Cricetulus griseus: one gene and its partner. The protein of the gene in region 1 purifies or fractionates together with the protein of each later gene. This does not show direct contact. Links are inferred from orthologs where the notes say so. Each region holds a gene or a part of one and is shown on either strand. Other genes may lie near its edges.

Region 1 (3,960 bases):
ACCAATGAAATGACTTCTTGAATTTCAAACCAGCTACTGGCTGCAAAAGCAAACAATTAGGGGAGGGGACCACTGCCATAGTCAATAGGGCAAACTATGGTCACACATACACACACACCCTTACAACCAGCACTCACTGGATCTGGCAAAACATAATCCCTAAACCACCTGCTCTGAGGCTTGCTACAGTATGAATTATAGACCTTTATAACACACTCTGCTTGGTGGGAAATGAGAGACTGGACATTTTAAACAAGTACCCAGCTAGTACTGCCTAGGCCCACTGAACTGGAGTGGGAAAACCACTGTTGTGTAAGTTTTGGTAGATTTGCTATCCTGAGGGGGAGGGGGATCGCTTTCCAGATATAAGCATCCATTCTCAGTACAAGACCTGTGATCAGGACCCACACTCCTTCTCAAGCAGCTTGTGAGATAGGCTGTGTTCTGTTTTTGCAGAAGGGGAAACAGAATACAAAGATTAAGGAACTTGCTCAAAGTTACAGATTACCATGGCGATTACACACGCATGAAATCAACTGGACAAGTTCCCCTAAAAGCTTCGAAATACAGTGGACCCGGCACCAGATCCTGGTTTTACATTTCCCAGAATCAAAGCCCATCATAACGAAACTTTGATTCAGTCTCGGCTGGAAAGGACCCAAGTGTCAATTCAGTTAACGATCTCTCCACACCTCATCCATCTACTGAGATCTGGTCCTTTCAACTTCCTCCTTCCATTCTACTCCGTAGAAGTTTGTTCCAGTGAAAATTCAAGTTAAGCCCCATCTTCTCAAACGACAGGCATCTGGTGCTGCTAAGGTTCTCAGGTCCACGAGCACTGTCCCTGAAAACCTGGGATAGACACATCTAAAATGCGCGCGCCAGGCAACTCAACCGAGGACACCGCGAGGGACGCCCTGTGAGCTCCCGGGAGCCGGGCGCTGCGAGGGGCACTCACCAGGCGTCCCGAGCTCTCTCGTGCCTTCTTCACCTTCCCGTAGGTACCCTTGCCCAGGGTCTCCAAGAATTCGTAGCGGTGTCGCAGGTTGTGTTTGTGATGGTGCCGCTTCACCGCCTGCTTCTTCATCAGGGGTTTGGGCGACTTGATGAGCCCGTCCGCCAGCGCACGGGCGCGCTCGGTAGCCAGGGCGGAGGCTGATGGAGCCTGGCCCGCGCGCCGGGGGAAGGCCACCGACTCCATTGTGCGGGACGGCGAGGCGGAGGGGGTCGGGTAGCAGCAGCGCGTGGAGAGCCTCGGGCTCAGAGGTCACAGCCGTACCCCAGCGCGCTGGAAAGCCTCGCGTTCCAAATTGCTATAAAACGTTTGGAGGGGGAAGGCCCTGGCCACGCCCCCTACTCCCATTGGCCCGCTTGCCGGCGACTCGTGACCAAGGCCTATGGCATTGGCTCACTGGCTCCTGCCCCGCCTCCTCCCCTTGGCTAGGCGCGGAAAGGTGTGAATGGAGCCCCGCCCACCTGGGCCCGAGGGCTCGGAATGCCAGAAAGGAGGTTGAGCCGAATTACTACTGAAGTGCTGGTCCTTACTTTTGAAGGCTCTCTGAATTGCTTTTGCCTCTAGATGGCGCCAACCTGTTCGATTGTGCAGTTTTCTGGGTTGTCAAGGGACAATCTGAGGGGCACTAGAAGGATCTAAGTTTTTCTCCACACGTAGTAATTTGCTTCTCCCAAGGAAAAAAAAAATCTGTAAAGCCATTTGATAACCTTTTCAGGCACATAAAGGAGAAAGTGAATAAGGAGATGGAATGGGATGAGGGCTGACTCCAGCTAAACATGGGTGGAGAGCTAGCTGCCCTGCAACTAAGTTCACCCGGCTGCTTGGATTCCATCAACTTTAAATGGACTCAGGAATCCAACAGGCCAAGTCCTTACCTCTTCTGGGGAAAAACAAAAGGATTTATAGGGTTGAGTGGATTCCCTCAAGAAGTGGTCGTCTTTATGGATTTTTCATTCTTGAAAAAAGTGCATCACACTCCAGGGACTTACTACCCTGTGTCCCTAAATCTATAAGGAGCTCGCTTCCTGGTCCCAGAGTTTCTTCCTGTGATTTTTAGCCAGAAGAGCAGGTGGTTGGGTATGAGATTTTGCTCCATTAGAGAGACCTGGAAGGCTAAGTCCAGAGCCCTCTTTTCTGTTGTAGAGAGTGAGTGTACTTCTACCAAAGGCCACACAGCTGGCAAGAAAGCCACAGAGCTGGGATTCTGATGATAACCTTTAGAGATGAGAACATAGGACAAGGGGACTTGCCCATCCTCCCGCCTCTGCATCACCTCATCTCCAGCTGTGTTTTCAGGGCTTGCAGAGAATCAGACAGAACCACATCCTCAATTATCAAGTTTTGTTGTTGTTTAATCTAGTATCTGCTCATTTTTCTACTTCTGCTCACCTTTTGAGTCTTTCCAGGGGAAATGACCGGTATCACCATGTTTCCCTGGAGCCCTCTACAGCCAGAAAAGATCCACCAGGAACCACCCTCTCTGAATCTGTTTTGCCCACAAACTGTATAGCTGTTTTGGCGTCCTATCTTCTGCCACCATGCCTTCCCATTCTGAGTGATCTGTGAAAGTAAAAAGGCCCAGGAGAAGTTTCATCTGACCTGCGATCTACATTGATAATGTGTGCCGGGTCCTGGAGGCCCATCCAGACCGATTTGGACTCTGAAGAGCAGGCTCAGGCTGGGAGACTGACATGAGAACTGGAGGGGGCTCCAGAAGAAAGGAGGCTAGTTTTTGGAGGCTCTTCCTAAAAACAGGGCTTTCAAAGCCGAGACTGAAGGGCTAATGGCAATTAGCTAGCTGGATCAAGATTTTCTCATAAGATAAACAGTTATTCAGAGGAACCCAAGATTCCCTTTTAGACTTAATCTAAAACAGATGGTGGTGCACACCTTTAATCCCAACACTTGTGAGGCCGAGGCAGGCAGAAATCTGTGAGTTCGAGACCAGCCTGGTCTACAGAGCAAGTTCCAGGACAGCCAGGACTACACAGAGAAACCCTGTCTCGAAAAACAAACAAAAAACCAAACCAAACCAAAACAACAACAACAAAAAAGACTTGATCTAGAAGCGTATCACTATTTTTTAAACATCTCCTGGTGTACTGCTGAGCAGATCAAGATGCCAGTGGATTCACACTGACCAAAATGGATGTAGAGTGGAGGCAGACAAACAGACCTGGCCATTAGAACTACTGAAAGGGGCTGGAGAGACGGCTCAGCAGTTAAGAGCACTGGCTTTGCCTTCCAAAGGACCAGGGTTTAATTCACAACACCGGTACTCTGGCCCACAACCAGCTACAACTCCTGTTCTAAGGGGTCTGGTGGTCTCTTCTGGGCTCCAAGGACCCCAGGCACACTTGTGCTGCACAGACATATATGCAGGCAAAGTAGCCCCACAAACAAAATAAACAACAACAAGACTATTTAAGAGCTACTGAATAGAGCAACCAAGTACTGGAACTCAACTTTTATTCTATAAAGGGAGGCTTGGGAGGTGGCTCAGTGACTCCAATCTTGGGTTTAGATGTTTGTATAGGATGTGCTGGGATGTCTAGACTGAGTAGGGAGCCACTCTTGGTCCTATCTGCTTCACACTCCAGCCCTAAGAAGAGGCACTTCTCACCCTCACACCCAATCATCAGCTAACTGCTTAAAGACCCTTGAGGAAAATAAGCCATCTGTGTACTTACTGGGAAGAAGTGTCCGCTCCTGTCCTCCTGCACACCGTAGTCTGAATGTGCCACATGTTGGGGACTGGGTGGGATGCGGGAGCACCTCAGATCGAGATACTACGGCATGTGCTAGGTGTAAGGTGTAGGCAGGAGCACGGATGAGAGGCTGCAAGGCTCTGCTGGGGGGCAGGGATGGGGAAGGGTGGGGAAGGCAGGTGTCAGGCACATCTTGGGGGATGACTAATAATTAGCTTCTCGCTCTCAGGAAATTTT
Region 2 (4,148 bases), on another chromosome or scaffold:
CAACGGGATAAAGAGCAATAGCTGAGTTTCTTTCATTGCTTTTAATGAGAGCTCATTCAACCAATAAATAAACCTTTAACTACAAACCACTTATAAATGTAAGGAAAATGCAGGTGTTGAATGTAGTTGTGGGTTGTGAAGTACCCAGAACTTGTCTCCTGTTAACAAAAACTTGGGTAATTTTATCCAAACTAAAAAGTTGAGTGAATATTCAAATAGACTAAAGAGAAATTAGGCTGGGCAAATATTTCAGTTATTTTATGATCTTTTGAGTACTAAAATATTTGACTAGTCACCCAATCAGTTATGCAAAAGGCATAAACTCAGAAACTTCTCCTTATGTGCCTGTTAACCCAAATGAAACACTCAATAATAAAGACTATTAAGTACACGCACCAAACCACTGAATTCAGTTAATCAAGAAGATATCAGTGGGTCTAGCCTCTTTAAAGAAGTAAAAACTGAGAAACAGTCTTTCAAAGACAATTCCATGTGTTTTCTACTGCCTAAACAGCTTTTACAATATTAAAAAAAAAGAGAGAGAATTGGCCCTCTTCCTTCAATCCAGTAAATTGTCTATAGGGTAACTTTACATTTCTACTTAGCAGTGTTAGAAAACACACTGATATGAACCATTATCCAAGTATTCTGACATACAGTAACTGTGTTTCAGAAACAATTTCACACTAAACTTGCACAGACATTTGAAAGGAAACTTCAGGGTGTTTTTCCCCCCATTTTATATAATTACATTTTTTTAATGCCAAAGTTGCTTCTCAAAATCATGCTTTGTGATCTTGACTTATACTATGCTTTAAGCTTTAGGCAGATGCACTACATTAGAGATACCACGCTGTACTTTTCACTGGGTGCCACTCTGAATTCCAGATCTGTCCTGCAAATTGTCAGTCATTTCAACCCTTCCAGTCAGCTCTGTAAACAAAGGCTAAACGCCAAGTGTGATATTCGAGTTTGATTAAATAAAACTTAAAATGGTCATCGCTTACTAAAGCAGGAAGCAATATAAGGAAAATATACCATGCCTTTCTAAAAGGTACAAAGTTAATAGCCACAAAATGTAAAGTTCAGATACAAAGTGTGAAGCCCTAACTTTCAACCACCCAAACGAGTTTTTAACCACAGTATTATTTAAAATAAAACTGATTTTTCACACAACCAGGACGATTTTGAGATAGCCAGATAAGTCTTTTTCATTGTCAATTTCCTAGTAATTCCAAGTTGCTTAATATGAAAATAAAAGAATTTATGCCATGGCACCTATTACCAGCACTTAAAACTTGCTTTTCAAGCAGGACTCTTAAGGGTTTTGTTGCTTTTGGCTTGTTAAAGGCAAAGCAACATTATCTCTGGATTGCCAATAGTTTCTCCTTATTTGGCTAACACTGAGAGATCCCAATCGGACTACTATAAAACTTTAACGTGCACAGAGCATCCATTTTGAGAAAAGATTGTGATTAGCTTTCTTTTTTTCTGCCCCCACCCCAAAAGAAAAATACAACAACAAAGTTTGGCAACTGACTTTGAAGAGTGCAGTGTTTATTCTTCTCTTTCTAGCTCCGCTGCACACTCCAGGAGCCAGGACTCAGGGATCTGTGACACTGCGACAAACTCTTCGAGTACAGGAATCCATAGATTTCAGTGGAGAAGTGGGCAAGCCCACTTGGGAAGACTCCCTTACCCGATACACGACCATCCCCTCTCTTTCAGCCTCTGCAGATTAGCTAATTACACCCCGTTTTCCCCTCCCCAGTGACCAAGAGTAATAAAGGAGAAAACAGGAAATCGTTCGCTCAGGGCACCGGGGCTATGGTTCTTGATTACTATTATTATCATCATCATTTGTAATCAACTCCTAAAAAAGTACACCAAAACCAATGTTCACTTCCAGGCCAAGGGGGTCCATTTGCCCAAGTCACCCTGTTAGTGGTTTTCTACATCCTCCCCCCCCCCCACACCCAACAGTGTATTACTGACACCGGGCCTCGGCACAATCCATTACACACTCCTGCTCGTCTTGACCCAGAGCACCAGACACAGGTCCACAAATGGCCCTTGGGGTTCCCCCCCACAAGACCACAGTCCCATCTTGCCCCGCGCCCAGGAAACCAGCCGGCTCCCAACTGCAGAGGCAGCGAGCGGGGTCTGAAGGGGCCCCGGAGCCCCGCGGCCAGCCTCCCCGGACGGAGCCGCCCCCTCACCCGCAGCAGGGAGTCTCCCGCCACCACCCCCGGGCCTCAGGACCGGCGACCGGGAGAGGCCCGGGGGCGCGAGAACGGCGTGGGCCCGGGGGTGGGGGTGGGAGTGCGAGCGGCGGGCGCACAGACCTGGTGCAGGGCGGTGAGTCCGTCCACATTGGCGTAATTGATGTCGGCGCCGCGGTGCAGCAGCTTGAGGACCTCGTCCGTGTCGCCGCTGGAACAGGCGGCCAGGAAGACGGCGCCATCGTCGAACTTCACCTTGGTCTTCTGGCGCTTCACCACGGGAGGCTCGAGGTCCGTCTCCGAGCCGATCCAGCGCTTCAGCTGCTCGTTCCGCTTCTGCTTCGCGTCCGCCATCTTCATCCCCCTCTCCTGCCGCCGGCTCTTCTTATCGCGAGCGGGGGAAGGGGGCGGCGGCGGCGGCGAGGGGACGCGGGGGGTGTGCGACCGTGGCTGCGAGAGCGGCCCGGAGCCGAGCTGCGAGCCGGGGAGGAGACGCTCGAGACTTCCAGTATCCCACAGAGCACTGGGGCGAGCCCGGCAGAGCTGGACCTCTCTTCCTCCCACAGACGCCCTCCCGCCCCCGGCACGACCGCCCGCCCGCCCGTCCGTCAGCCGCGGCCCGGCTGAGCGTAACTTCGCGAGATCCGGGCCGGGGAGGCGCCCCGCGGCCAGTGCGCATGCGCGCTCCGCCTCCCTCCTCCTCCTGTCCCCTCCCCTCCGTTCCCCGCCCTCCGGCCCGGCCCAGGAAGAGCGCGGCCGCCCGAGTGTGGCGGCGGGGGCGCCACCGGAGGGAAGCGGGTGTGGCTGTGACTGCGGGGGCTGGGACGATCCTGGAAAGGGAGGGAGGAAGCCGGGAAGGAAAGGTTGTCCTGCGGGACCGAGAGCTCTGGAGAAACGCCGGCCGCTTGGCCGGCTGGAGAAGCGGGCGGTACCGGGCTTGACCTGCCTCCGGGGCTCGCCCTGCCGCGCGACGCGTCTGCCCAGGGCGGAGGGTTTTCCTATTGGCTGCGTGATTTGAATGGAGTGGACACAGGTCGAGCCTTAGGTGCTTGGCGGTGCTCTTTCCAAGGAACTCGGGTGAACCCGGGCTGCGCAGTCTTGATCGAGAGCGTTTGAAAAAAGTGGGGTGTGAGCCTTCCCCACGGCCCTGGTGGCTGTGACCGAGGTGATCGCCTACTGACAGGGGTATGATGACCTACGGTAATTGCGGTCGCTTCCTGCTAACACCCACAGCAGAAATGTCTTTCCTCTTAGGCTCGCTTGTTATTGTTGTTTTGTTTTTTCTGTCTCTTTAAGCCTGTTTTGATTCCTCTTCCTTCATGGCTTTCAGCCTGTGTGTGTGGCACTGCCCAGGAGGTTAGCTCAGCCTTGTTAACTGGTCCTGACCTTTTAAGGGATTTATGGTTCCAGCTCCATTGCTTTCTATGGAGTAAAGACCCGGGCTGCGTCTAGAATTCAAAAGGCATGTGGATAAAGGCCGTTAATTCGACCAATACTTATCGAATACCTGTCTAGTAAGTCGTGACTTCCCAGGCACTAAAAATACAATAAATATAATTTCTTTGAACCCATTTTGTAAATTCACGTGCTGTAAAAGACATTATCATAAAGGGGTTTTAACTTTGCCTTTTCTAAACACTGTCTCCCACCCACCCACACACTTCAAGTCTATAATAAGTCAGAAAACCCTACCATTGAATGTTTTGGGCTCCTCTAGAGTCTACAGTCTTGAGACTGAGATTTCCTCCCAGAAAAGAAAACAGTTTCAATTCTGAGTCAGGCTTACAGGGGCTGCCCATCTCTGTGCCCTACCCCCCTTCTGGTGATACTACAGTGAAAACTTATTTTCTTACTCTCATCATATTGCTTTTCGTAGACTACATTAGAATAATTGAGTAAAATCTGCTTAGGGAATTACCTTCTTAT

Evidence for each region. Proteins that work in one complex are often made in the same cells at the same time.
Region 2: the proteins of Nuak2 (region 1) and Ppp1r12a purify together in Homo sapiens (affinity purification with mass spectrometry; 3 studies listed by BioGRID and IntAct, counting the BioPlex papers as one, with this or other methods). This does not show direct contact. The link is inferred for Cricetulus griseus from reciprocal best matches to the Homo sapiens genes NUAK2 and PPP1R12A.

What each region holds. Positions count from the first base shown.
Region 1 is NC_048598.1:56,849,904-56,853,863, forward strand, and holds the start of Nuak2 (NUAK family SNF1-like kinase 2), read right to left. Parts: upstream 2,807-3,960; 5' UTR 1,202-2,806; coding exon 959-1,201; intron 41-958; exon of another isoform or gene 1-40. UniProt on the Homo sapiens protein: Stress-activated kinase involved in tolerance to glucose starvation. Induces cell-cell detachment by increasing F-actin conversion to G-actin. Expression is induced by CD95 or TNF-alpha, via NF-kappa-B.
Region 2 is NW_023276806.1:147,071,349-147,075,496, forward strand, and holds the start of Ppp1r12a (protein phosphatase 1 regulatory subunit 12A), read right to left. Parts: upstream 2,811-4,148; 5' UTR 2,583-2,810; coding exon 2,346-2,582; intron 1-2,345. UniProt on the Homo sapiens protein: Key regulator of protein phosphatase 1C (PPP1C). Mediates binding to myosin. As part of the PPP1C complex, involved in dephosphorylation of PLK1. Capable of inhibiting HIF1AN-dependent suppression of HIF1A activity.